Linked DNA regions of Diceros bicornis minor. The protein of the gene in region 1 interacts with the protein of each later gene in a pairwise test. Links are inferred from orthologs where the notes say so. Each region holds a gene or a part of one and is shown on either strand. Other genes may lie near its edges. The genes, in order: RUNDC3A and EIF3E.

Region 1 (15,565 bases):
TGGGTAATGTTGATGGCCATTCTAGCTGATGTCGGGTGACTGAGGGTGAAGTGGGGAGCCGGTTTTGCGGGGGTCACTGGATCTTATGCTGAGGATAACGTTAGAAGATCACTGGGGGGACCATGGGGTGGAGGTGATGGGATGGGTGGTTTAATGCTGGCGGTTGGCTGCGTTCAATGCTGGTATTAGGAAAGGTGATGTTAAGAGTCAATGGGGGCGGTGGTGGGGGTTCCCTGGGATGATGTGGTCGGGGTGGCCGGGGTCAAGGGTCAGGGCGGCGGTGGCGCTCACAGCTGCTCCTGCAGCTCCAGGATCACGCCTTCCAGCTCCCGCTTCTCGCGCTGGTTCTGCGCCGCCGCCTCTTCCAGCTGCAGCTGCAGCCGCCGGTTCTCCGCCTCAAGGTCCTTCAGCTGCGACTCGCGCAGACGCACCAGCTCCTCCAGGTAGCCCTGCGGGGCGCCGGCTCAGCCCGGGCGGCGGGAGGAGGGGTCCCAGCGGCCGCCCGGCCCGTGCCCGCCCTGCCCAGCGCCTCGCACCGCCGCCGCGCCCCGCGCACCTTCTGCGCGTAGACGATGCGGAACTTCTGTTCCATCTTGTGCCACTTGCTGTACCAGCTGTCCTCGTCGGTGACGAGCGGCAGGTACGGGTGCTCGGGCGAGTTGTCCTCGCTCGTGCTGCTCTCGGCGCTGTGCCGCTCCTCCTCGTCCGTCAGGTAGTCGTAGCTTGGGGGAGGGAGCAGTGGGCACCGCCGGCCCTGCCCCGCCCGCGGGTCCCACGCCAGCCCGCTTGGGCAGGGGGACCAGGAGGCCCTCCCAGCCTGCCTCCCTCCCGCCATCCCCGCCCGCGGGGAGGTGGGCTGTCCGCTCCACCGCAACAATGGGCCGCTGACCTCTGGGTGAACTTTAGGTAGGGCGTGTAGTCGATGACCACGGGGGTCTTCCCGTCCAGCACTTCGCCCTTTAGGCAGAAGCTGGGGGCAGACGAACCACAGGGTTAGGGCGGATATGAGGGAATGGGAGTGTGGACATTCGCGGAGAAACAGCCCCCCAACCGCCACCGCTGCCCCCACCTGAAGTCTATGGCGCTCAGTCCGATCAGCATCCCCGTGAGGACCGTGGCTTCCTCCCGCAGCATGATGGCTCCCGAGTCATAGAAACGCCTGTGGGAGGTGGGGGGGACGACTGATGGTGCAGCCTCCTCCCGGGGAGCCCCCACCTGCTGGGACTTCTCTTGTTGGCTTGCTACAAACTTTTCCTAGAGAAAGGAGGTGTCCCCTTCCTGCTCACCCCTCAGCTGTGGATCTTGTCTCCCCCTCCGACTGGGGCTCACTGGGGATAGCGTCTGTATCTCCCACCTATTAGAACGGGTGTCCCCTGAGAATAGACTCTCCTTCATCCTCTCAGCTAGCGCTTCCCCACCAAGTACTGGGTCACCCAGATTCTTAAAATCAGGAAACAAGTTCTAATCATTAGTGCTTAGCATACAGCAGGTGCTCAAAAATATGTTGATGTGAACTCTGCAATGTGAGGACAGAGGTCAATGCAGTAAAACATCAGGTTGGGTGTGAACACTGGTGGGGGGCACAATGCCCCCTATAGTACTCAGCTTCAAACTCACCGTCCCCCACTGGCACATCCTGCCTGTGACCTGCCCCCAGGACCCAATCTCTCTGCAAACCCTCGGTGCAGGAACCGAAGCTCGACACGCTGGGACTCTATATTCCATGGGTGGCAAGTACAGACGGCTGCCATTGTTTGGGGAGCAGGTAGGGCTGTGTGTTGTAGGTCATGGAACAAGACCAACCGGTAAAATGATACATAGTTGAGGCTTGTCCAGAGGTGTGTATGAGACCGGTTCTGGGGAGTGATGGGGGATAATGAATTTGACTTGGAAGAGATGGTGGCGATGCTAAAGGTATGTTCCAGGACTGTAGGTCAGGCTGGGGAGGGAAACTAGCAGTGCATGCTGGGAGTTGTAGTCCAGGTACTGCAGGAACTTAAGGATGAAGTGTGTTTAGGCTAAGAACGTTCTCACTGGCACCTGTGGTCCAAGCTAATTGAGAGGGACTGACCTGGTGGTCCGGGTGTCCCGCAGAGCTGTGGTGATGTATTCCGACATGCGCTTCTCCATCAGTGCCACCCGGATCCATGCACGGCCCTGGAAAGTACACTCACCTTTATTTGCTGCCCCGAAGGGACCCACGTGTGCGCCATTGGGTCTGGACCTCCTGTGGCCCTTCTCCCCAGTGCCCGTGGGCAGGGGTGAGGACCAAGGAGCATGCAGTATCCAGAGCAGGGAGCAGCTGCCCTGGCCCTGCCTGTCGCAGGCCCCTCACCTTGGCTCGGGCTGTGCTGATGTTCTCCATGTTCTCGATGCTGCTCACGCAGTTGTTGGGCACTTTGCTGCAGGCCAGCCGGATATAGTCCCAGAAGCCCCGCTGCCCGTCTGAGCTGAACCAGCTCACCGGACCTGCTGGGGCACAGGCTGAGCCAGGGCAGGGAGGGGGCTCAGAAAGACCAGGGAGTTTGGAGAGGGTCCGTGTAACGGGGCACACACATGCGTAAGTATATTCAGCCATGCACGCACACAGTGCCTACCCCAAATGCATGTACACACATATGCATGTACACCAAGGGCACGCCAGCACAACACTACATGCCCATTGATGGGGTGTGTGGGCACCCACTATGTTGTGCCCAGAAGACCTTTTCCCCTCTTCCCAGCTCTGTGCATCAGCTTCTGCGCATGGCCCAGAATTGGGGTCAGGGTCAATGATGGGGTTCAGAACCACATCAGAGTGAGGTTGCTGGAAACTAAAGGCTGGGAGTTGGTGGGGCTGGGCCACAGGGGACAGGAACCTGGACCCACCTTTGAAACGGTGGCTGAGGATCTGCTCTAAGATGGCTGCAAAATTTACAAACTCCTCGGATGAGTCATCGATGGGCTCCGCTGTGTACTTCTCCAACAGTGTTTTCACAGAGAACCTGGGGAGGGGTGAGAAGGGGCAGTAGGGTATCAGGCAAGAAGACAGAGTGATGGTGGTAGAGGAAGGGCATCAGGCAAAGAGAGGGAGTGAAGGGCAGAGAGGAGGTCATGAAGAGCATGGATATGGTGGGGAGGCAGAGGGAGAGAGGGTGGGAGACAGATGAGAACATAGTGACCATGGAGGTGCTGTGACATGGGAGTGATAGGGTGGCAAGTGGGAGACTGATTGATAAAGTGGGTGACAGGAGAGGTGACACCCAGAGAAAGGAAGCTTCAGGAACACGGTATGAGAGGGGATAAAACAGTAGGTAAAAAGATGAAGCACTTAGAGCCAGGGGCCTGTCCCAGAGCCCCTTCCTCTGTGCCCACCCTCGGAGTTGCATTTTCTCTGTGTGTGGGCTGAGGGTCAGGTAGGAGTTAGAAGCCAGTTTGGGCTCCTGCCTTGAGCTGTCTTCTGCTATTGCTGGGACAACTTTCAGTCCCTTTTGGGATGGGGGGGTCACCTGTGCCAGGGCATGTGAGTTGGCACATGGAGCGTGGGCATGCATGGGTGGCCAGGTGGGCTCTCAGCACACAGATGCCCCCTTCCCCCTTTTCCTTCCTAGCTCAGCCGCCCACACAGCAGCTGCCCAGAACCAGGCGGTGCAGAGCTGGGCGGGGGGAGGTGCAGGGTGTGGGGCTGACACACACGGTGGGAGGGGACACTGGCAGCAGATCTCTGGAAGGGGGCTTGGGGGCCCAGACACCTGGCTTCTCAGAGAGGAAGGCAGCCAAGGGAAGCCAATGAGGCTGAGGGACTGGAGCCCAGCAGCCCCTGTCCCTCTCTCCAGTCCTTCTCGAAGCCTTGGCTCCCTCTGCAATCTCTCCCCTGCAATCTGCACCTGTCATCGCTGCAGTAGGGTGAGGCAGGGATGAGGACACGGCTCCCAACACCCCAATATTGCCCTATTGTGAGTGGCAGAGCAAGGGTTGGGTGTCCAGGGATGTGGGGGCTGCTTGGAACTATCCTTTTTTCCCTAAGTTTATCAAGCCCTGTAATGTGCCGAGCACAATACTTTGCGTGTATTATCTACTGCATCTCACAACAGCCCCGGGTGGTAGGTCCTCTTATTATCGCCATCATCCCCATCTTACAGATAAAGTAACTGAGGGTCCAAGAGGTTGACTCATCTGTTCAGAGTAACACAGCTTGTGAGGAGTCAAGTAGGTACGTTTGATTCCAAAGTTGTTGCTCTTTCTGCTACATCTTGTGGCCTCCTGGTGGCTGTCACGATTACCAAGGCCGCGAGCAGCCCCTGCCACTTCCGCCCTCTGTCCTCCACTCTGCAGGATCCAGCCCTTGAGCACTGGCCTCTGAGGCTCTCAGGCCAATGCCACAGCTGAGCCCACGGAGCTCCCTCCCTTTCCTTTGGGCTTAGAGTTGGTCTGGCCTGAGATCAGATCTAGATCAGTGTTGGGGTTACCCTAGGGGGAGGCAGCCTGGTGGACTCAAATCCTGTTTCCTTGTGATACCTGTGTGGCCTTGAACAAGTCATTTAATCTCTCTGAGGCCCATTTCCCAGGTGCAAACAGGAATAATAGTATCTGCCTCATTAAATTTTGGTTCAGATCCCAGGAAGGACTGGGAGAAGGTGAGTGTGTACAGGTCATTGGGCAGCGGTGGTGAGGAGCTGGGCATTAATGGGAAGGTCAGCCCTGCCAGAAGGAGCCTGTGTTTAGGGCATTATCTGGGCTTCAGTATGAAGCCTGCCCCCCACCCCCATGATTTCTTCTGGTCATCTGGGTCAGACCTCAGTGGGGGCCTGGGGCTGGTATCAAGATTGCAGCCGTCTGCCATCTGTCCTCAGGGATGCTGCAGAGCTGGTCATCGCCCCTGGGAGCCCCATGGCGTGCTCCCTGTTAGGAGGTACAGTGGCTGCTGCAGGTTACCATGGAGACAGGGAGGCGAGGGCCCCGTGGAGCCCTCAGCCTGCTAAAGGGAACTGTTCTGGGAGCTGGAGGCAAACCACGTGACAGTGACGAGGCGCAGGGGCCTGAGGGGTTTCTGAGCCATTGCCACACCTCCTTCCCCCCGCCAAAGCTCTTATCCTCACACCCCAGTTCTAAGCTCACTTCCAATCCACCAGAACCTCTGCTTCTCCAGCCTAGACCAAGAAGAGATCCCCCTTCCCCACACACTCAAGAGGCCCAGCTGTCCTGGGAGGCAAGAGAAAGAAGCGGAACCTAGGAGGTCAAGAGAGAGGAGAAGGACAGGAAGGGTGTCATCAGGATGGGGCTATTTTCATGTACCAGGCACTGGGCTAGGCTCCTAGGTGGATTATGTCATTACCATTCCTTGGTGTGGCTGTTACATACCCCATCTACAATGGGGATAATAGGGCACCCAAGGCCCAGAGTGGTTAGGAGACTTCCCCAAGGTTGCACAGCTAATAACTAATGAAGTAAGAGTTTGAACCTAGGACCATCTGGCCCCAAAGGCAGAAACCTTTGTTTTATACCACACTGGCAGTGTTTGAGGGGGTGAGGGTGGAGGGAGTGGCCTGCACTTTGGGCTGGGCCATTGCTGTATTCATGTCTTCTATAACATTCCAGGCATTTTACAGAGATCTGATGTGCTCAGCACTGTGCTGGGCAGTAGGGATATAATGGTGTGCGACAGACGCAGTATGGTTGGGTGTGTGCCCAGGAACCTGGGAGGAGCTAGAGGAGCCAGGAGCCAGGGCATCAGGTGGGCACTGATTCCTGGGGGAAGGAGCAGGGCCAGGGCCTGTGTGCAGGCAGGTGGGGCTGGCAAGGGAAGACAGCTGAGCCCTGCACTGGGAACACCCTGCCCTCAGAGGTGGCATGGGGGGTGGGGAGGTTGCAGGTGGAGAAGGCAGCTGGCATGGGGATCCTAGAGGGAGAGATGAGTGCAGGTGGGGGCTGAAGGAGAGTGTCTGAGCCACTGGCCATTCCTGGCTTAGGGCAGGGCAGAGAGGGTGAGTCACTGCAGGGCTAAAGTGGGAAAGTTCACTTCCTGGGCCCCAAGAAAAGTGGGTGAATCTTCCCAACACTGCGACAGCCCCACCCTCAGGGACCAATGGCCCTGCCCTCCCAGTCTCCTCCCCTTGAGCCCAGGAGACCCAGGCTTCTGTGATCAGGCCCTCAGTCCTTCCCACGGCAGGGAAGCGCCCCTCACCCTTCACTGGATGGATTAAAGGGCTTTGTCCACATGCCCCAGTTGACTCTGCCACAGGCTGCATGCCCAGAGATGGAGGAGGACACCATCTCTGCTCCAGTATTTGAGCGTCGGAAAATCTCCCAGGAAAGCCCCACCCCGGAGAGGCCAGGCTGACAGGACTGGGAGTGAGGGTATGCTTGGAGGGCGTTCATCTCCTTACTCCATCAGTTCTCTCCTGCCCACTCTGCCTCTGCCCACCCCGCCCCCAGCAAGGGAGCCAGCCATCGCCGCCCCTTCCCCCTCACGCACAATGTCACTTCCTGGTTCTCACAGGAAGCTGCAGTGCCAATTAAACACCCCTCACCCCCCAGGCCCCAGGCTGGGCATAGGCCTGGCTTGGCCTAGAAGGATAGAGACCAGACCTCCAAACCCCCTCCCTGTCTGGGCCTGAGAGGGACAGTGGACGTGCTCCTCTTAACCCTGTGCTTCCTCCCTTGTCTCCGCGGTTGCTGTGCATCCTCCCTCAGTCCAGGTTTCCGCAGCCCTCCCCGACGCCTCTCCGACCGCCCCACCCCCGCCCGCCAGCGGCGCCCACCTGCACACGGTGATCAGGTTCCGACGCTCCACGGCCACATTGCGGGAAGACGCTTTCTTGGAGGACAGCCCCAGAGCCATGGTGGTCTGGACAAAGCTCGCTTCCATTCAGATGTGCGGCCACTGCTGCCTCCGCCAGCTGCCCCCCACCACGCCCGGCGCCCCGGCCCCCCGCCGGATCACGGCTGAGCCCTCTGACCGCCGGGGTCCCTCGATCCCTCCACGGCCATCCCCCTGCCCCTGCGCCCGATGCCCGGCCCCCTGGCTCCCTCCCCCGGCGGCGGTACCTGAGCAAAACAAGGCCGGGGAGGGAGCTCTCCGAGGTGCTGAGCCGGGGCCCGTCGCCCCCCTCCCCCAGCCGCCCGCCCCCCTCGACCCGTGACGTCGGGGCCCTCGGGCCCCGCCCCCAGGCAGGCCGGGGACCAATCCGCAGAGGGGGCAGGATTTAGGGGGGAGGGGAGCGGACCGGGGCCCCAGGGAGGGCGGAGGGGGTCCCTGGAAGAGGCAGCGATTGGAAGGAGGGAGAGGGCATCTGGTCTGTCCACCCCACACTCAAGGCCCGGACCCCTCGCCTCGCGTCTCTGAGCTCTGACGCCTCTCCTCCCTTGTTTCTGACCTGTGATCGGTGGTGTCTCTCAGATTTCTCCCCCTGCTGCCTGGGGAATGGGGTCCTCACCTCCAATACCCTCATTCCAGCCCCGCCCCCCACCCATTTTATGGCCAGGACGCGAGGCCAAGGCCAGGTGTGCATCCGGAGAGCACAGGTGGCCTTACGCTGCTGACCTAGGAGGCCAAAGAGCAGTCAGAGACACTGCGTATTTGTCTGCACCAGCCGGCGAGTCAACGCCTCCTGGGGTGGGGGATGGGAATCTAGGATAAGCCGGAGGAGCCCAGCCCCTGGAACCACTCAGGACAGTGAGTGGAGAAGAGACTGGCAGCTCAGGGCCTGGGCGCTGTGGTGGTTCCCAGCAGTAGAGCTGGTGCCCACGAAACTGGAAGGGATGGAGCCGAGGCACTGCTTCCCCTCAGTCCTACCTCACTGCCCACGGGCAGCCGCCTAAGGGTTAACCCCTTGGCTGCCAGCATTGCTGCATAGTGCCATCAACCCTCTGCAGGGCCAGGAGGGCCCTGCAAAGTTGGTTACATCTTTTACAGGAAGTTGGGGAAATGGAGGCACAGTCTGGCTTTTCGGCTGCCTTTTGCCTCCCAGTTGCTCTCTCACATTCCAGCTCCCACCTGCTCCGTTCTTCTGTTCAACCTGTTCTCTTTCACCCACTGAAATCCCCAGCTCCTACAGAAAGCCTTTCTGTGTTGATTAAAGGGGCTCCACTTGATTTCTCCATCTGACCTCAGGAATGCCCATCCCAGGGCTCAGTTCATATCTATTCACTGACTCTGCCCACCTACTGGATTTACTCTACTCTGTTAGTATGGTCAATACTCTGCTAGGATGGTCAATGCACCCACGTCTGAATGTGACCAGCAGGCAGGGACCCTCTGTTAGCACAAACAGAGGAGGAGGAGATGAAAGACTCATAGAAGTTCCCAGCCCTGGTCTGATTCCCTGGGTGCTGTGGAGAAGGTCCTGACTCCTAGCACAGATCTCATGCTCACTCAGCCTCAGCTTCACTTCTTGGCCTCTGGGACCTCAGACTTGATTTTTTCAGTCCCTCCTCTGCCCTTTCCCTTTCCCTCTTGCCTCACCTGTAGAAGCCCCTCTTGTCATCCTCCTGCCTCCAGACTCATAGCCAGTAGCAATCATGATGCTCTTTTGTGTGTGTGTGTGAGGAAGATCAGCCCTGAGCAAACATCTGATGCCAATCCTCCTCTTTTTGCTGAGGAAGATTGGCCCAGAGCTATCATCCGTGCCCATCTTCCTCTATTTTATATGGGATGCCGCCACAGCATGACTTGACAAGCAGTGAGTTGGTGCATGCCCAGGATCCGAATCGCCAAACCCCAGACCATCGCAGCGGAGCACCCGCACTGAACCGCTTGTGCCACTGGCCAGGCCCCATTCTTTTGTTTTTCAATTGCGAGATACATCATATGCACAGAAGAGCACATAGAACACATATGTGCTATTTAAAGAATATTTACAAAGCAAACACCTGTGTCATCACCGCAAAGATCAAGAAATAGAATATTATGAACACCCCAGGACCTCCTGTATGCTTCTCCCAGATCTCATCTTCGTCCATCCCCCTAAGAGATAACCACTAGCCTGATATTTGTGATAGTCTTTCCTTGCTCTTCTTTATAGTTTTATCATCTACATGTCCATCAATAAAAAATATAGTTTAATGTTGCCAGTGTTTAGACTTTGTAGAAATGGAGTCATACTGTATGATTCAGTTGTGATTTGCTTCTTTCAAGATTATGTTAGGGAGAGTCATTTTCCTTGTATACTATTCCCATGTGTGTCTCTATCACAACTTATCTATTCTACCATTGATGGTAATCAGACAGGATAGTCAGAAAAGCAGAAACCACGTTATGTATTTCAATTAGAGGGGATTTAATATAGGGAATTGGTTACACAGGAGTTGGAATTCTAAAAGAGCAAAAAGAGAACGAGAACACTGAGACAGCATGGAACTAGTAACTAAAGGAAGCAGCCAAGGGTGAGGGAGCAAAAGGGAAGAGATGGGGTTACCACACCCTGGGGGCACAGAGATGGGGCCCTGCAGAGTTGGGGCTCAGACTTGGGCAGAGCCACCAGCAGGCTGCTGCTCTTTCCTCAGAGGAGCCATCTCCAAAGCTGGTTCTCAGAATGCAGAAAGAAGCTGAAGGCTAGAGCCAACTTCCAGTGATAGGGTGACTCTGAACAAAACCAAAAAAATGGGGAGATAGTCTCTTCTCCTTTCCTCTTGCCTTCCATCTCCCTCTAGTGCCTCCTCTTAGCAGAACCTAACAGAAAGCCAGTTAGTAATGGAGTCTGGGAAACAAGTTTGCAGAGTCCCAGCCCCACCCAGCCCAGCGTCTGAGAGCAGAGACACGAAGAATGGATTTGGAGCAGAAAGTCAAGAAGTATTTACTGGCACAGTCTACTCCTTTTTCTGTTCAGCATTTACACACACCTTTCTATGCATATTTGAACAGTAACAACTTAACAACTTCATGCCTTTGCCTAACAGGATGCAATTGTCCTTTGCACGAATGAAGATGCTCAGGCGCCCTCCCCCAAAGTGGAGATGCAAAGTCTTTGCAGTAACAGTATCCATCTCTGGGTGATGCTGGTATCTCTCCGAGTTCAGCCACATTTCCTCCAGGATTCTTTAACCTAAGACTAAATTATAAAGTTCACTACCAGCAACAGTCCTTATATAAAGTAATAAAGGAAAGAAAGGAGGGGGAAGTTAATTAATATACAGAATATATAATACAAAACAAGCAAGCAAGAAAATACCCATAGCTTCTACAATCTTTATTTCTATAACTTGTCAGACGTTGATATTTATACCTTCTTCATCCATTACTCATTTCATTTCACTTTGCCCTTAGTCAGCACCTCGGTTTATTGGTTTGTTTTATTTTTAACCAGGTCAGGTGACCAAACCTTCATTCTTGAAGAATCTAAATGCTCAGAATTGGGTTGCTATCATTTTTCTTTAATTTTTACCATTTTTACCATGGAAGAAGGAAGAGGCATACCAGAGAATCCCGTGGGTTCCAGACCTAGTCCTCCCTGCCTTCATTGTGCAGCTGCAACCCAGTTTCCCCTTGGTATTTGGGATCAGTCATCCCTGAAGTTAACTCCCTTGTTTGCTCTGAGCCCAGGTGAGAATGTAACTTCCAGTTCAGTGGAACCATTGCTGTATCTCCGGGTGAAAGGATTCCTCCCGTGGTGTAGTAGATGCTGTCAGTGCCCCTCCCATAGTCCTTGAGCTCTTGGGTACACTGGATGAAGTCCCAACTGCCAGAAACTGCAACTCTTTCCCTGAGAGCTCTCTCTGGCCACTGGAGCCTGCACTATCCAAACGCTGGGCAGTCTGAAAGTTCTGGGAAGTTGTATTCCCATCCATAGCAACCCTCAGCCAATAACTGATGGGGATGGGGGGATAAATACCCCAGCTCCCTCATCCTTCAAGTGGGGTGGTCCTGAGGCTCACATTATTGCTGGGTCCCTGAGACCTCCAGCAGGATGAAGTTCCAGTTCTCCACACTCCTAACTTGCTCTATAGCACATCCTTTATTGGCCTCCTCTCCTTCCCTGTGTCGCTTTCCCACTTGCTTGCTGGTGATTCCTAGCATTATTTCTCAAATACTTACATTTGAATCTTTGATTCAGGTTCTACATCTAGGAGGAACGCCCCAAAATACAGTTGGTATCTGAAGTGGTCTTAGGAAGCAGACCGCTAGGATAGGATTCTGGAACTGGATCACTCACCATCCAGATGGCAATGAGGATTCCATTGCTGAGGTAAGTGGGGTGCTGATACCCAATGGAGTGCTGCACCATCATGGTTACTAACACTTTCACCATGGTGAAGACAAGGATGCACTGCCTGTGCAGATCTCTAGTATTTGAGATGTAAGAGAGAAATAGTAATTATAAGGATTGAGGAGTTGGTCAGTTGTTGTTAAATGCCATCAAAATGCTAAAAGATAAAAATGACAGACTCACATCAGTCAACTCTCAACTCAAGCTACAGTGTAACAGCCAGGAGGCCTCATTGGCAGCGTTTAAGGAAACTCATCTGTAGCCTGTGCAGGGCAGACTGTGCTGAAAGTCAGTGCTATTATCTGACTGTGAGAGTAGCAGGATGATATATTTAAAGCGCAGCAAGTCAGGGCCCTGATAGAGAAAGAGTAGGACCCTGAAATCTGGTATGGGAACATCTGTTCTGGAATCCCCAGATTTTCCTGAACCCGTTGGGCCAGCAGAAGTGCCCTCTCCCCCTTGGTGGAAGAGAGCAGACTCTCCTTGCCTGGATAACATGCAAAGTCCTCACCTGAGGCAGATGCCTCACAAGATGATACTTGCCCTCTTCAAGATGTGACCCTGACCCCCTCCATGATTCTAGACCAATAACTATGGTCAAGTCTCATCATGGACCATGTGGGAAAGCAGTATCCCAGCTATGGTGAGAAAGGTATTATTTACCAAAAGAGCTCCAGGATCCTGCTAACATGTACCAGCAGAAATTGGGAGAACATGCTCGGGAACGGATCTTGAGAGTGACAGACTGGGGTTAGAGGGTGGACTATAAGGCTGGATAATGGCTGGAATACTCTACCATGACTAAGGACTTAACATTTTAAAGGCTTGGCAAGGACATCTGAAGCCAGTTGCAATACGCCACTTTAGTGGCGTTTAGGAAAGTTTAGGAAAAACTATGCATTACAGCAAAGGAGGTGGAGATGTTGAAACTTCCTTGGCAGAGTACTGGGGAATGAGTCAAAAGGCTCAGAGGGGTGGGCTTACCAGAATGAAATTATTATTATATAAGACCAGAGAACCCTCCAGATTACTGTGTTCCTCATGAGAGCCCAGAGAAACTCCCTTCAATAAAGTGATAAGAAATGTGCTTGCTGTTGGAGGGCCACCGGCATCATTTGCAGCTCAGTAGTGGCCATCCTCTGTGGAACAGAGTTGATAGTAGCGGAAGCTGCTATGGTACTGGGCTTCCTAGAGTTAATGGGTATGACAGGAGTCCAGAACAGAGGCCAAATGATGGCACTACTCATCAGAATCAAGGTGGACATAATGACCAGAATGGACAGAAAGACCAAAATGGCAAGCTGGGATCTACAGTGATGGTCAATAGACTGTGGTCTCCCTAGGTAGGTGGACAGCCAATGAGGGTATTTCTTGGCTTATGTAGCCAAAAGGAGCAAGAATGAGTGAGCAGAAGGCTGACACCACTGCAAAGGAAATTCACAATCCCTCATCCATTTCCAGACCTAAACCATTTTTCAGCTGCAGAGCCCATTGGTTGAAGGGGAGGCCAGTTCCCTTCGGGAATAATCTTGCAATGCCACAGCAAGCTTATATGATAGTAATTATCTCACTCCTCCCCCAATGTACTTACAGCCATTTATCAGAGCGGTTGTACACTGGGAGAGGGGGATACCCAGATCTTTTAAGGCTTTTGAATACAGGATCGGAGCTGACACTGATAACAGGGGACCGAAATGCCGTCATGACACGTATTAGAATGGGGCTACAGAGGCCAGGTGATGAAAGGAGACCTGGGAAAGTCCATCCCATAGTGGGTCCAATAGGTTCACAGACTCACCTGGTGGTTATTTCCCTGGTCCCTGAATCCATAATTGGAATAGATGTACTTAACAGCCAGCAGAACTCTCACATTGGTTTCCTGAATTAAGAGCCTTCAGAGTAGGAGAGGCCCAGTGGAAACTCCCCCCTACCTCTGCCAAGATAGTAAATCAGAAGCAATATCCCATCCCAGGTGGAATGACAGTAATTATAGTCACCCACAAAGGATGCAGGAGTGGTGGGACCCATTATATCTCCATTTAACTCATCAGTCTGGCCCTTGGAAAAACCAGATGAATCATCATAGATGATGGAGAACGTAACCAAGTGGTAGCCCCATTTTAGCTGCTGGGCCAGGTGGTGGGATAGCTTTCCTAGACCAGATCAACATGCCCCTAACATTTAGTACATGACTATTAATTTGGTGAAAGAAAAAGGATTAGAACCTTATAAAAGTACACTTCCATTTCCTCTCTCCCTGACTTTAAATATTGTCATACATTTTATTTTAGTTGGCATTTCCATGCTTGTTAATGAGATTGAACATTTTTTCACATGCTTATTGGTCATTCGGGTTTTCTCTGCTGTGAAGTTCCTGTTCAAAGTATTTTGCTCATTTTCTCTTGGATTATCTTTTAATTGCTCTGTAGTAGTTCTTTATATATTCTAAATATGACTATTCTGTCACTTATATATACTAGAAATAGTTTCTCACGTTTTGTGGCTTGCTCCTCTTTGTGGAGTCTTTTCATGAATACAAATTCTTAATTTTAATATAAACAAATGTATCAAATTTTTTTTCTTTATGATAGATGTTTCTTGTCTCTTGTTTAAGAAATCTTCCATATTTTGAGTTTATGATGTATTTTCTTATATTACAAGAATTTTATAGTGTTATTTTACCTGAAAGTGTATAATTCACCTGGAGTAAGTTTTGTGTATGGTGTGAGGTGGAGGTCCAATTTCATTTTGCTTCAGCAACATTTTTTATTTATTTATTTATTTATTTATTTATTTACTTACTTACTTACTTACTTACTTATTTATTTATTTATTTATTTATTTATTTATTTATTTATTTAGTGAGGAAGATCAGCCCTGAGCTAACATCCATGCCAATCCTCCTCTTTTTGCTGAGGAAGACTGGCCCTGAGCTAATATCCTGCCGATCTTCCTCCACTCTATGTGGGACACCGCCACAGCGTGGCCTGACAAGCAGTGCAACGGTTCGTGCCTGGATGGGAACCCGGGCTGCCGGCAGTGGAGCACGCACACTTAACCGCTACGCCAGGGGGCCGGCCCCTATTATTATTTTCTAAAGTCCTTCGCCCACTACTTTGCAGTGACCTCTCTTTCAAAGCAAATATCCACACATGTGTGGGGCTAATTCTGGGCTCTATATTCTGCTCCAGTGGTCTCTTTGTCTATCCTTGCATCTAATCATAATGTCTTAAATATTAAAACTTCATAGTAAGTCTTGATCACTGGTAGGGCAAGTCTTCCTATCTTACTCTTCTTCAGGAGTATCTTGTTTTTTCTTGGCCCCTTGCATTTCCATAATAATTTTAGAATTAGATCGACAAGCACAACAAAAACAAACTCATCTTACTAGGATTTATGTTGGAATCGTGATTGCATTGAATCTATAGCTTGATTTGGATAGAACTGACATCTTTATAATCCTGAGTCTTCCGATCTTTGGACAGAGTATAGCTCTCTTTTATTTTTCTTGTCTTTAAAATTTGTCAATAAAATTTTATCATTTTCTCTGAAGAAGTCTTATACATATTTTGTTAGATTTATCCTAGGTTATTCATATGTTTTGTGCTATTTTAAAAGGTACCTTCTTAAAATTTTATTTTCTAATTCTTACTAGTATAAATAGCAATTGATTTTTTTTATTGTGTTAAAATATGTGTAACAAAATTTGCCATTTTAACCATTCTTAAGTGTACAATTCAGTGGCATTAATTACATTCACAATGTTGTGCAACCATTACCACTATTTCCAAGACGTTTTCATCGCCCTTCATCATACTGCTATGAACATTTGTGTACAAGCATCTGTTTGAGTCCTTGTTTTCAATTCTTTTGAATTGCCGTGTCATACGGTAATTCTATGTTTAACTTTTTGAGGAAGAGCCAAACTGTTTCTACAGTGGGTGAACCATTTTACATTCCCACCAGTAGTGTATGAGGGTTCCAATTTCTCCACAGCCTTACCAATGCTATTTTCCATTTTCTATAATAGCCATCCTAGTAGGTGTGAAGTGGTATCTCATTGTGGTCTTGATTTGCCTTTCCCTGATGACTGATGATGCTGAGTATTTTTTCATGTGTTTATTGGCCATTTGTATCTCTTTGGAGAAATGTTTATGTGAGTTTGACCATTTTTTAATTGGGTTGCAATTAATTTTTTGTTTTAAATTTAAATTAATAATTTGTTTTAATTGGGTTGCAATTAATTTTTAAGCTGATTCTGCTAATTTATTAAACATTTCTATAAATTGAAATAATTTATCTGTAGCTTCTTTTGGATTTTCTTGCCACACAATTAGGTCATTTGCAAATAGCAGGTTTTTTTCTTCCTCACCAGATAACAA
Region 2 (15,027 bases), on another chromosome or scaffold:
CTGATTCATAAGCACAACTTTGATCATACATACTATGAACTGAAGGTACTTGATGGCCATGTTTTAAAGAGGTTTCACACCTTTTGCCATGAGAAAACAATATACTTTAGAAGACCTATAACCTTCATATTACCTTTCATCCAAAGAACTTTTTACAGTCAAGTGTCACTTAACGACCGGGATATGCTCTGAGAAATGCGTCGTTAGGCAATTTCATCATTGTATGAACATCAGAGAGTGTACTTACACAAATCTAGACGGTATAGCCTACCACCTAGGCTATATAATACTAATCTTAAGAGACCAACGTCATATACTCAGTCTGTCATTGACTGAGACATTGTTATGTGGCGCATGAATGTAATCATTCAAATAATTAAGACTTCTGACTAAAGCTCTGTTATAAATCACAAAATTTTAATACACAGAAACTTGGTTAACAAGACAAGCTTCAGTTCTAATGACAAAACTTACCATGAGGAATATCATCAGAATAAAGGTTTTTGTATACATCCATAGCAAAGTCTACCATGTTGGTATCACTAAGAAGATCCAATTTCCCTTGTAATAATTCTTTTTCATTATATATCTGCAAGAGAAAATTACTTTCTAATAAATATATTGAAGTTCCCCCAAATAAACTGATTAATAGTAAGATTAGTCTACCTGGAAATATACTTTCTGAAATACTGTTTTTTAATATAATCTTATATACTATTAATTTACCCTCTTGTAAGAAGGCAAGCAATCAGCCTACAGAGACAGAAGAATATTTTGTTTACCTAATAATTGAAAAATGAAGGCAATTATACACTTCAAAGCCATTCTTATCTACCCCTGATTTATATCATTTTTTATGTGTCCCTATAAGCCATCTTTTATCCTTTCTAGAACAAGGCTGTGCATAAACACACAACCATACCAACTCCACTGGTAAGCAACTACACTTGTATCTTCTCCACATCCAGGTAATCAGGAATCAACTCAAATTTTTTACCTTCTTAGTATCTCTTACATCTACACGATGCCTACTCATCTCTTCTCAAAGTGGCCTCTCCTTTACCCCCACGTATTTTTTCACTAGTTAATGATTTTTTATAATACTTCCCCATCTACACCCCTGAAACAAAACTAGCACCTATTCTGTAAGATAACCACGTCATATCAGGTTTTTGTTTTGCAGGGAGTTCAAGAAATATAATTTAACCCATAGTAGAGGTACCATATAGATACATAAGCAAACTCACATAAACATGAAGTTAAGTGTATTGAGCAATATGTAAGGATTCTACACAATAATATTCAGGGAGAGATCATAATCAAAATAAAAAAATTTTATCAGTCATCAAGATAAAGCTTCAGCAAAAGAAAAAATTTTTGTACTTAATTTTGCCAAGGAAAGAAAAATGCAGGAGATTCCACATTTCACCACCCATGAAAAGAAAAGCTGAAGGTGGTCAAATGGTACAGCCATGAGATCAAAACTGACGTTCCAAACTACAAAAAGAACTCCTATAAAATAGTAAGAAAAGAGAGAGAATCCAATTGAAAGTGGCCAAACGATTTTAATAGGCACTTCACAAGAGTAGTATAACCAAATGGCCAATAAACACCCAAAAAGGTTCTTAACTTCATTAATCACAAAGGAAATGCAAACGAAAACCACACCAAAAACTAAAAAAATGGACAATACTAGTGTTGGTATAGATGTAGAGTAACTGAACACTTAACTCTGCTGGCAGAAGTCAAACCACTTTGGGAAACTGTTTTTATCTCCGAAAGCTAAACATACTTTTTGACCCAGCAATTCTGTTCCTAGGTACTCAAGAGAAATGAGTATATATATTCAAAGAAAATTTCCAAGAATGGTCATAGCAGCACTATTCATAATAGCCAAGTCTATCAATATTAGAATGGATAAACTGTCCTATACAATGGTTTAACATTCAGCGTTGAAAATCAATGAACTACTGCTATCCTAACAACTTGGATGACTCAATGTTGAATGAAAGAAGTCATACAAAGCAGTATATGATGGTGAATGATTAATTTCTTTTATATAAAATTAAAAACTAATCTATCATCTAGTGCTTACCTTTGGGAAGAGCGAATAATGACTAAGAGGGGTCTGAAGGAAGGTTTTTAGAATGTTTGTAACGTTTTACTTATTGATCTGGATGGTGGTCACACAGTGTGTTCACTCTGAAAAAAGCATTTATACTTATGCACTTTTCCGCATGAATGTTATACTTGATAAAAAGCTTACTTAAAAGAATTGAAGTTTTCTTTCAGTTGCCCTACAGAAACCCTAACTTTAGGTGAAAACATCCTTTTCCTAGCATGCCACGTCCCCTCAGCACCCCATTAATAGCTTTTAATTTGTAATGTGCCTCCCAAGTGTAAATACAAAGCATTGCTCCTCTGCCATTACACTTTATTGGCCTCTTCTTAAATCTACATCTGCTTATAACACCCTCTCTAAATTCTGCCTCATAGGCACACTTATTCTATAAAAGGCAGATAGTAAATATTTTAGGCTTTGTGAGCCAAAGAGCAAAAATCAAGGATACTATATATAAGTACCATAAGAAAGAAACAAATTTCCACAATTTCTTTTCTTTTTTAAATAAAGAATATAAAGATTATAATGGAGTAAAATTTTTTGTAATATAGATTACTAATGAAAAGAATGGAATTCTTTTTGGGCAGGAAATATTTCACTTAACTGGGGTACAAAGTTAGTGTTCTCTAATTGAAAATGTTTCCAAATGTTCATCTGTTAAAAATTATTTTTAGCATACAGACCACACAAAACAGGGAGAGAGGGCTATATTTGGTTCACAAGCTATATAGTTTGCCAACCCCTGGTCTATCAACCTCTTGCAAACAGCTCCTACTTTTTAAGAGGTCTTTTGACATCCCTTCCTGCTGTCATCCTCCACAAATCCAACATCTATACTGATGATTCTTTAAAAACTCAAGCCTTAAAATTCCTTTATCCCACAAAGTACAACTTTCATCCAGTACTTCATCTCTAAGATTTTCAACTTAAATTCATCACCTCTTCCACCATTACCATTAAAGTGCTTCCTCAGCCTCACCATACCCTCTGCTCTCATTTTTATATCACCCTTTTTGGTTGTCACTTTCTACATTAGTTTGGATATCATTTTTAGCTATTCAAAGATTTTCTCTTTAGCAGTTGCATTGATTCCATCCATTTTCTTCAACCAAATACAATTCAATATCGATCTCTAGCTCTGGAAAAAAGTTATCTTTTTCCTACGTTCTGTTTTAGGACCAATATAAAATATCTCAAAACTAGGCAATAATGTTATTCAATCACAAATGTGCTTTTCTCTGCTGATCAGCAACCCTTCTCATTAATCTCTAAATGACATTTATCTACAAGCCTTCTCACTGAGAATGAGCATCGTAAGCTCTATAAATCTATGATTTCCAATCTCACTAAATCATTAAAAGCCTTTATGCCAGACTCTATTTTCTGTGCTGAGAACACAGCAGAGAACAAAGTTCCTGCTCTCATAGAACTTATATTCTGCAATATACTACAAATATAACAAATTGTTAGTCTCATGTATCATGGTCACTGACTATCAACTCAACTTAAAGCCTCTCCTCCTCAAAATTTTTTGCCCACTGAATGAAGAATCTCCCTCAATTCTGACAGCACTCTGCCAGTACTTCTCTGACATTTACTACCTGCCTTATAATAATAATCTTTTATCTCCTGTAAAGAATAGGTCAGTTTTTTAGTGGTGAGATGTCTGCGTTTTATCTTGGATTTCTCACAATTCCATGGTAGCCCTATACTTAGCAGTTTTTAAATAAATAGTCTAGTATCTGTCTTCGTCTTGGCATATCACAGCCATCTTATCACATTCTCTCTAAGGAGGCAGGTATTGGGCACAGTTATTTTCCACTGCTTCTCAGCTGCCTTTCATAGTTTTGGTCCTGTCCCATGAAAAACTAATTTACACTTACATATTCCTCCCTTTCGTCTGTCTGCCTTGAAAAACGAAAGTGTAAAGAACAAAATACAAAAATATGAAGTTTGGCTAGTTCAGAAGCATTTCTACAAGTAGGTGGCAAAGAATTTCTAAATATGGTATTTTTTTATTCCTTGATCTTTGGTGAATTATCCTCACTTATCCAGAAAAGGAAACAGAATGCAGACTGGACTGTTTTATTCAAGCTCTAAAATATACATGTAAGTACATCCTATACAAAGAAAAATCAAGGCAAAAACACATCCTTTCAAGATAAAGCTTTATATGGCAAGATATTCTTGAACGATTACTGAAAATGAACTTAGCTACTCCCTAACAACAAGTTTAGAGTTGTCTAAATTTTTAGAAAAGCTTCGTATGAATTTGAGGATTATACTTGTCTAATGAACCATAACTTCCAGGAAGACTTAAAAAGTTATCAGAACAATTTAACGCTTATTTGTATGGCTTTTTCGTTTTATTGTTGCTGGGACACACAAAATCTATTCCTCAAATCTAGAGTTCTCTAAGCAGACTTGTGTTCTAAGTCTACGCTTAACTTCACTTAATTTCTACACTTTTAATTTGTAATGTGTCTCCCAAGTATAAATACACTTGTATTCATTCATTTTTCTGGCCGATATCTTAATCCCTTCATCATAGTAATATTACTTTAATTAAAATGCATTCATTTCCCAATAAACTCAAGGTATAACTAAGCCCAGTATTTCAAAACTTTTAGGACTGACACGTTTTAAAATGAGGTATCAGAACCACATACTTATTCAAGATACTTGAGTAGCTAAACGAACGTTCACAATCAATTCAAATCGCTCGAAATGTGTATATGTATACACTGGAAAACTTTTAGCTTAAAAATTGTCGAGGTGTTTTTTTGGAGGTCCTTGTCTCCATCCGACAAAATATGCTACGTTTCTAGGAAGTGGCTAAAGAAAACTCAATGAAAACAACTCACAACCTTATGGAAATGAACGTGTTAAATATTTCATTCAAGTGTAAGAAAATTATCCAAACGATCCGGCAAGCAAAAGCACAAAGCCAAGTACAGCCTGCCCACAGTACCCGAAATAAAACCCAAAATCTCTCACACTCGAATTTGCTTTTAGAAGCCGGCCTGAAGTAAGGCTCAAGCGTTACTACAGCGAAGCCTGCGAGTCGTCAACTTCCCAGAGGACAAGACGCGGAAGTACCTCGGGTCCTGGCACCTCAAGAAGACCTCTTTCTCTCCTAAGTTTCATACTGTCCCTTCACCCTGTTCCGGCCGAATTCCGCGGTGTTAATCAACCGGGACGACAGTAAACTACCAGTAGGTCCTTACAGTTTGGTCCGACCTGGGATCAAACTCGCGGCTGCCTCACACGTGTGTCAGGCCTAGGGTTACCGCCACCGCCTTTCGGCCTTGCCCCGCATCTCACGCGCTCCCACGCCTTCCTCGCGCTCAAAGCCCTCCTCACCTCCTTTACGGAGAGAAACTCAAGCAACGGAAAGACTAGATGCCGATCCAAAAAGTGCGCGATGCGAGTAGTCAAGTCGTACTCCGCCATCTTGCCAAGGAAAAGAGTAGTTTGTTCTCACTAAAACTTTATTGGTAGAATCGACAGACGGACAGGGCCCGTACTGCGCATGTGCAGTGGTTAAACTAGCCATGAGAAAGGGGCGGGGTTCAGCCTGGAGCGCTCTGAGAACAATGGCGCATGCGCGCGGCTTTTCCGTTCTTCTGAGCAATTCTAGGGCGCGGCGAAGAGGTCGGCACACTTTCTTCTGTTTGCAAGTTGATGAGTGTCGTGCTATGCATTCCGTTAATAAATATTGAAAACTCAGAATTGATTGCTGCGGCAATGTCGATTGCATTGAGATGCGGCAGAGGACAAGATAATAAGGCTCCTGCTCTCCAGGAAGTTACATACAGGGAGAAATATGAGCTTTTATTTGGCATACAATAATCGTTTTGTAAGCGTTTGTTAAATTAAGGTGGGATGGGTTTCTAGACAGAAAACAAGTGAAATAATTTCGGATTATACTAAGAGCCATAACGTGGTGGAGTGGTCGGATTGGGCTTTTTTGATTAGGGTGGTTAGAGAAAACTCAGGGTAACTAAAAATTTAGCTGAGAATTGTAGTAAGAGAAGGAGGTGACCAATTAAAGCCTGGGTAAAAACCAAGTTTTTTAATGCCTGGTGGAAGGCACAGCAAAGTCAAAGTCCATGAGACAGGAAAAGACTTATGTTTCAAAAAGTGAGTATCCTGTGTGATTGGAAAGTGAGGTTAAAGACGTTGAGAAGGGCCAGGTCATGATTAAGGTAAGGAATGGGGATCTTATTCGAAGTGCTCTGAAGTCTTCTTTAATAGTTCCTTCTGTTCTTGGACCTCTTCTCTATCTAGGCCAATGCCCTAAGTGATATCATTCAGCCTAATGGCTTTAAATGCAATCTACACATTGACAACTCCCAGATTATAGCCGCAACACAGGCTATCAGTTAACTGCAGATTCACATATGTCCAACATCTCAACGTTAACATGTCCACAGCCAAACTCCCCAAAGTGGCTGTTCAAAACCTGCTCCTTTCATACTCTTCTCCACCTCTGTGAATGCCAACTCCATCTGTCCAGTTGCTCAGGCCCAAAACCTTGGAGTCATCCCTGACTTTTCTCTTTCTCTTACACTCTACGTTGAATCCACCAACAAATCCTTTGGTTCTGACCTTTGAAACATATCCTGATCCAATCAGTTCACACCACCTCCAAAGTTAATCCCTAGTCCAAACCACCATCTCTTGCTTTGATTTTTAGAATAGCCTCTTCACTAATCACCTTGCTTCCCCCTCTTTTCCTTCAATGGTTTATTCTCCATACAGCAGTCAGAGTGACTTTTAAAAGTCAAATTATGCTCAAAACCCTCCAAGCCTTGTTATCTCACTCAGAGTAAAAGATGTAAGTCTTATAATGGCCTAAAAAGTCCTAGATCATCTGGACTCATTACCTCTCTGACCTCATCTTCATTTCCTCCACTTGCTCACTCTACGCCAGTCCTAAGCAACCACTAATCGACTTTCTGTCTCTATAGATTTCCCTATTCACAACTTTCATATGAATGGAATCATATAATATGTGGCCTTTTTTCACTTTGCATAATGTTTTCAGGTTTATCCAAGTTGTAGCATGTATCAGAACTTCATTTCTTTTTATGGCGGAATAATATTTCATCATATGGATATACCACAAATTGTTTACCCATTCATCTGTTGATGGACATTTGGGTTGTTTCTACCTTTTGGCTACTATGAATAATACTGCTGTAAACTTTCATGTACACATTTTTATGTGGACATGTTTTCATTTCTCTTGTGTGTATACCCAGAGGCGGAATTACTGGGCTGCATGGTAACTCTGTATTTAATCCCTTGAGGAACTGCCAACCTGTACTGTAACTTTGCAGAATGTTACCACTGGGGGAAACTGGGTAAAGGGTATATGGAATCTGCCTGTATTATTTCTTACATCTGCATGTGAATACTATCTCAGAGTAAAAGTTTGTTTTAAAAAATGATTCCTAGACTTTGAACTTAAGAAACTGGATACCTACTGGTGACTTCTGAGGGGAGAATGGCCAAGAAATATGTATGGGTGCTAAAATCAGGAACTGTGGTTCAGACAGAATAAGATTCCTATTAGATATCCCAGTGGTGATGTTAATATGCAAATAGAGATACTATTCTGGATCAGTTGATATAGTTGTTAATCACTTACCAGGCATGTGACCTTGTACTGGATGTTTTCAAGGATTTGTGAGTATGATATGATCTCTGCCATCGTGCCATTTACAGTATTTTTGGGAAAGCAAGGCTGAATTCCCATGAATCAGAGAATACATGATAGTATAGGCTGCTAAATTGTGGGGGATAGTCTTTGTAGCCGCTAAGAGTTGAGAAATGATAGTCGTAATTTGAAGTTTCCTGGAAGCCCAGAGACTAAAGTTGTAATAGAATATAGACAGGAAAAGGGGAAGTTAAAAAGACAAATAGCAAGAACTGAGGCTTCCAGCAGAAATGGGCTGCAGAGGAAGGAAGGAAGCAGGTGGCAGTATGGAAACTTGCCAAAGAGGAACAGAGAGCATTTCTGAGAAGCAGAGAAAAATAAGATGCAATTCAATTTGTCCAACATTTTAAACTTTTATCATATGCCAAGTACTAAGCTAGGTGTAATGGGAATATAGGATCAATAAGAGCTAGTCCCTGGTCACAGAAGCTTTCAAGTAGGTGACAATTATTCATTCATTTATACAATATGAATTGAATACTTACACTGTGCTAAGCACTTTTCTAGGTCCTGGGAATACAGCAGTAAAGAAAACAAACTACCTTATCTAAAGAAGCTTATATTCAAGTGGAAGGAGACAGATAAAGCGTATTAACAAATATATACTTTGTCAGGTGGTGATAAATGCTATGAAGAACAATATGCAAGGCAAAAGTTAGAGAATGATGGGAAAAGGTTGCTAATTTATATGAAGTGATCAGGGAAGGCCTCTCTGACGAGGTAGAATTTGAAAAGAGACCTGAAAGAGGTGAGGCAGTTTTGTGGCTCTCTAGAGGAAGAAAATTCTAGGTGAAGGAATATTAAGTATAAAGATGCTGAAGCAAAAGTGTGCTTGGTGTGCTTGAGGAATAGCAAGAAAACTAGAAATTCAAGAGCTGATGGAGCAAGACGAAGTATGGCAGAAGATAAGTTCAGAGAGGGAGTGGTGGACCAGTTGACAATGCTTTGTAGGCCACAGTAAGGACTTGGGGTTGTATTCTGAATGAGGTAGGAAGCTATTGGAGGATTTTGAGCAAGAAGTCACATAATCAGAGATATGCTTTAAAAAGACCACTTTGAAGGTTTGGGAGAGGTTGGGCAGACGAGCATATACACAGAGAGACCAGTCAAGAGACTATTGAAATAATTCAAGGAAGAGATGATGGTGGCTTAGATGAGAGTGGTAGCATTGAAAGAGTTGTGGACAGTAGTGAAATTCTGAATATATTTTGAATGCAGAGCTAGCAAAATTTGCTAATGGATTGGATGAGAAAGAGAAAGGTCAAAGATGACTCTAAGGTCTAGAAGAAGTGAGAGGTCTTTTTTAGTAAGAAGAGGAATGGTGCGATAGATGCATGTTGTAGAGAGGAGAGAAATCAAGAGTTTAGTTTTGGACGTATTATGTTTGGGATGCCTGTTAGACATAGACTGATCTCCTGTGTGGAGATACTGATTAGACAGTGGTACATAAGAATCTGAAATTCAGGAGAAAGTTAAGAGCTGAAAATAGAAAACTAGATCTTGTCAACGTATTGATGAAATTTGAAATAATGGGACTGAATGAGAGTGTGAGTGTGTCTGGAAAAGAGATGAGGAGGGCTAAATCTTAGACGCTTCAACTTGTAGAGGTTGAGACAATTCAGATCAAGTAAAGAAGGTGGAGAAGGCCTGGCCACTAAGTGGAGGGAGAAGAGGAGCAAAAGAAAGTGGTGTCCCAGGCGTCAAAGGAGGAGAGTAGTCAAAGCAGCAAGGAGTAATGAACCATGTCAAATGGTGCTGTTAGTTCAAGATGATAGGACTGAGTATTGCCCTTTGGCTTTGGAAAATATGCAGGTTATCAATGACCTTCATAAGAGCAGGTTCAGTGAATGGGGGATAAAAATCTGTCTGGTGTGAGCTCAGAAGATGAGAGGAGACAAAATGAAACAACATATATATACAGATCTTTTGAGGAATTTTACTAGAAAGGGAAGCAGTGAAATGGAGTGATAGATGTGAGGTCTAGGGAGAGTGTTTTAAAAGATGTGTGAATGCTGATAGACATGATAGAATACTTATATAAATAACTGTATTGAAAGGATAGAGTGTTATGAGAAGCTATAGGGAATATAGAAAGAGCATGGAGTCCCAATCAGCCTGGCCCCAAACAGAGATTGATTCTCAATGAGGGTAGAGAAAATGGAGAAAGCCTGGTGGATTGGATTTGAGACTGCTGACTTTTACAACAGATGTGGAAGAGAGCACTGCAGGTGGTTCAGGAACAAGTCAAACACTGTAGAGACACAAAAACAGGAAAATGTAAGAAATATTTAAGAAAGACAACTTGGGAAGTTAGCCAAAGATTGAAGACTCTAGGGGGATATATGCCAGAAAAGGAAGACCAGGGCCAAATAGTAGAAAGCTTAAGTGAGGAATTTGAAATTTATCTGAGGTCATGAGGATCCTTAAAGTATTTTTGAGCATGAGAGTAAATAATCCTATCTGTGTGTCAGGAAGGTAATTCTGACAGTTGTGTGGACAGTGGATTGGGTAGGTGAAATGCAGCCAGGCTGTGGAAGGTCTTCAAAACCAGACTGGGAAACTTGGATTTGATCAGATAGGCAATGGGAGCCACTCATTAAGTTCTTAAATAAAAAAAGACATGAAGACAGTGGTGTTTTGTCCTTTAAAATTAAACTGGAAGTGATTTACAAGATGGATTAAAGTGGTGACAGATTGGAAACTCTGCTGATTTGCCTGGCTTTTCCCCTGGAATTTTCCTTGCTGGTTTGTGAAAATATCTTATTTCTTTTTATAAGAGAGATTTTGCCCCAAATATGGAAAATCTGACTTTCTTGCATTAGACTTTTCCTAGTATTTCAGTTAAAAAGAGATATTACAGAGGACGGACAGGCAAGGCCTCACCTGGTAGTATGTAGGTGGTATCAGGTGAAGCCTTTGATTCTCGTACATTCATCAAATATTGATTGAATGTTTTCTATTTGCTGATCACCCTGTCAGCCTCTGGGGAAACAAAGAAAGGAAACCAATCCCAGCCCGCAAGGAGCTTACGGTTTAGTGGGGGTGGCAAGCATATAAAATGTAAAATAATCATAGCACAAGGTGAGTGTCTATGCACAGAGTGCTCCTGGGCGTCCAGGGGGAGCATGTGTGATGTCGAGTGGCGGGACATGAGTCTGCATTGAGGGGTCAGGGCTGAATTGTCAAGGGCGCTGTGGACTGTGCTGAGGAGTTTGAATTCTATCCTGCAGGCTAATTTTCCTGGTGACTTTTTTTTTGAGGAAGATTCTCCCGGAGCTAACATCCGCTGCCAATCTTCCTCTTTATTTATTTATTTATTTATTTATTTATTTATTTATTTATTTATTTATTTATTTTTCTGCTTGAGGAAGATTAGCCCTGAGCTAACATCTGTGCCAGTCTTCCTCCACTTTGTACGTGGGACACCGCCACAGCATGGCTGGTGAGTGGAGCAGGTCCACACCTGGGATCCGAACCTGGGAACCCTGGCCACCTAAGCAGAGTGCGTGGAACTTTAACCACTTGACCATGGGGCCAGGCCCAACCTGGTGACTCTTTTAACGTCTCCCTTCGCCATACCCTCCCCTATCTTTCTAATTCAGGCTCTGATCATCTCTCACACAGATTACTGCATTAGTCTTCCAAAGGGTCTCCCTGTCACTGGTCCTGCACCCCTCTAATGTGCCCTCCACCCTGCTGTCTAGGTGATCAGAATGCACATCTAATCCTGTTATAGGCTGAATTGTGGCCCCCACCAAATTCGTATGTTAAAGTCCTAATCCCCAGTACCTCAGAATGTAACTGTATCTGGAGATAGGGTTTTTAAAGAGGTAATTAGGTTAAACTGAGGTCGTTAGGTGAGCTCTAATCCAATATGACTGGTGTCCTTATAAGAGGAGCAGATTTAGGACGTAGACATGTACAGAGGAAAGACCATGTGAAGATGCAGGGTGAAGATGGCCATCCACAAGCCAAGGAGAGAGGCCTTCGAAGAATCAACCCTGCCAACACCTTGATCTTGGACTTCTAGCCTCCAGAATTGTAAGAAAATAATTTTCTGTTGTTTAAGCCACCCAATCTATGGTACTTTGTTATGGCAGCCCTAGAAAACTAATACACTTTGCACTTCCTATGTCATATAGTATAAAGTCAAAACTTTTTAGCACACAGTATAAAGTTCTTTAGCACTTGATCTCTCCAGAACCCTACACTCCTTCCACACTAAGCTTTGCTCAAACAAGCCAAGTTTATTATTTTTTTACTTGCTCTCCAGCAGCTTCTTCTAAAATGTCCTTCTGCCCCCTCCAACCCTGTTGACCACCTTTTCACTTTTTAAGACTCAGATGAAGCATCATCTTCACTATTGTGTTTCCCATTAGCAGAGCATATCTGAAGTAATCACTTTCTCCTTCTGCCCCTCTCTTCTCACAGCATACTTTTATCTCAGAGCCTATAGCATTGTAGCTCACTTTTTTTTTTACATGTTTGTTTCCTCCTGTTAGACTGTAAACATCTTGAGTATAAGTATAAACATCTTGATATCTATGAATATCTGTCTTTATAGTCTCAATTCCTGTCTTAGTACCTGACATATAACAAGTACTTGATAAATGCTCTAGAAATGAATAAATGTGCATAGAGCTTTCATATCCAGACCTACGTGTTCTTGAAAGAAATTCATCCATATTTTGGAATACTCTAATGAATACCTATCGCTACTACTGTAGTGGACACATTTTTCGAATGCTCATGTCTCCTGATTCATAGCTCTCTTAGATATTTCTAAATAACACTAAGTAACATTATTTTTAATCCAGTTACCTTTTTTTTGTTTTGTAGGAATTCGGAAATTTAAAACCTGGGCTTCCTCCATCTCTCTCTCGAATTTCCATCAACTGCATTTAAAGCTGGGTCAGACCCAGGAGTAAGCAGATATGACTTTCCACACGGCTCTTTGAATTAATGAGCGGTCCTAATATTTATCAAATGTATTGCCCTTGTTTATCCCTATCACCTCTCCCTTTACATGTAGCAGCTTATTTCTTTCTAACCAGTTCTGCTGTCTTCTGCTTTGACCCTCACCCTTCATACTTGGTCTAAGTAAACTCTCTAACACGCAGATATGACCATATCATTCCCCTATCCCCTCTGAATAAATCCTGAACTCCTTGGCAGGGCATGCAAGACCCTCTATAACTGGGACCTTTCTCCCTCTTTTGTCTGACCTCCTGTTGTGTCACCTTCAAACCCTGTGCATGAATACTAGTGGACTGCTTGTGAGCACACACATATATGGCATTGTTTCAAGCCTCAGTGCTTTTGTGCGTCTTATGGCTTCTTCACATGTCTTTCCCACCTTTCAAGCTGGCTAATTCTTATTTGACTTTCCAGACCTAACTGCCCTCCTCTGGGATTCCACAGCATCTTGTACTTCTTGATATATATGGTCTGATAAAGCGTCTCCTCCACTTGGCAGTAAACTAAGGACCATGTCTTACTCACCTTTGTGCCCCTGCATCAAGTACAGTGCATTGCACATAGATAATATTAACATTTTCACTACTTCTTCTACCTATCCTTTCTGAGTCGTTTTACCTGCCCTATTTCATTTACTGCCATGGTACATTAAAAGAAAAAAATATCAAATTTCTCTCTTTAGCTCAGGCACTTCTTCTGAGTTCCAGATCATTTATTCATCTGCTTGGGTAACATCTGCACTTGCATATCTCCCAGGAATCCAAAATCAAGATCCAGCTCTCCACTAGTGATCAATGACACCTTGTTGATCATATCAGAAAATAGGAGTCATGCTAACGCATTCTGTTTTCTAAACTCCCCAATCATCGTCTTATTGATTCCACCTTCTAAGCCTCTCTCAGATCCATCTTTTTCTTTTCTTATCCGCTGTCACTGCACCAGTTGAAACCATATCATCTCTCACCTGAAGCCATTTAAAACAGATTTCTAACCATATTCTTGTATCCACTCTTGACTTTGTCTAATCTGTTTTACATTTGATGGACAAAATTACTCTTTGAAAATGAAAACCTGATCATATTGTGTTCTGTTTAAAACCAATCTGTGGCTTTTCATTGTTCTTAGCATGAAGTCTGAAAATCCTTCAGTTTCTGTTCTTCCTTTTGCTCACTGGCTTTCTTTAAATTCCTCAAATTCAGCCAACTCCTTCCTATTACCCAGTTATGCTAGTTCATATGTCTGGATACTCCACCCTATCTTCCTTCCCCCTTACCAGGCCAAACTCATACTTTAGCTTTCATATAGTAAATATTTCTCTGTTCTTCTTTATATTACATATATGTGCATCCCTAAACAACATGATTTAGTTTTGCTTGTTTCTGAACTTCACATAAATGAAATCACAATGCATGCATCACTTTGTGACTTGTGTTTTATATTCAACCTTATATTTGAAGGATTCATCCATGTTGCTTGAATGTACAGTTTGTTCATTTTCATTGCTCTATAATATTCCACAATTTCTTAAAATCTGTTCTAGAGCCAATGAACTTTAGGATTATTTCCAGTTTGGGGCTATAATGAACTATGAATGATGCTGCTATGAACCTTCTTATACATATATCCTGGTGTACCTGTGCATCTATTTTTTCAGGGTATAACCTTTGAACTTTGGCAGGTAATGCCAAACTGTTTTCTAAAGTGAGCATTCAAGATTACACTCCCATCAGGAGTGTAATAATCAGAGTCATTGTTGCAACACATCCTTGCTGACACTTTTTAATTCATGCCAATCTGATGGAGGTGTATTTTGCATACACTTTTTATAATAAATTGATCCTTATAAAATAATAATATGGCAATATGTGGTCTGTTGTTTCCATAGATGGCCACAACAATACTTCCAACCCTGCATGCCTTCTGCAATATGATTTTGTAACTCCTCCATTAAAAAGTGGAATCTGTTTCTCTTCCCCCTAAATCTAGACTGATGCCATGACTTGCTTTGGCTTCTAGGTATAGGTGTTAAGAAGACTTGCAGCTTCACTTTCACTCTTCTGGGATCCAGCTGCCATATCAATAAACTCAGGCTACACTACTGAATGGAGAGACTGTGTAGAAAGGGAGAGGCCAAGCCATACCCCAGCTATTTCAACTACTCCAGCTAAGCTGCCAGACACATTAGTGAAGCCTTCTTAGACAT

The links.
Region 2: the proteins of RUNDC3A (region 1) and EIF3E interact in binary tests that used the Homo sapiens proteins (3 or more experiments, as listed by UniProt). The two-hybrid records come from large-scale screens. The link is inferred for Diceros bicornis minor from reciprocal best matches to the Homo sapiens genes RUNDC3A and EIF3E.

Annotation. Positions count from the first base shown.
Region 1 is NC_080757.1:42,884,467-42,900,031, reverse strand, and holds the start of RUNDC3A (RUN domain-containing protein 3A), read right to left. Parts: upstream 6,899-15,565; 5' UTR 6,848-6,898; coding exon 6,741-6,847; intron 2,985-6,740; coding exon 2,869-2,984; intron 2,470-2,868; coding exon 2,336-2,469; intron 2,158-2,335; coding exon 2,072-2,157; intron 1,160-2,071; coding exon 1,070-1,159; intron 971-1,069; coding exon 890-970; intron 723-889; coding exon 557-722; intron 450-556; coding exon 292-449; intron 1-291. UniProt on the Homo sapiens protein: May act as an effector of RAP2A in neuronal cells.
Region 2 is NC_080760.1:25,651,640-25,666,666, forward strand, and holds the start of EIF3E (eukaryotic translation initiation factor 3 subunit E), read right to left. Parts: upstream 5,593-15,027; 5' UTR 5,576-5,592; coding exon 5,486-5,575; intron 590-5,485; coding exon 475-589; intron 1-474. UniProt on the Homo sapiens protein: Component of the eukaryotic translation initiation factor 3 (eIF-3) complex, which is required for several steps in the initiation of protein synthesis.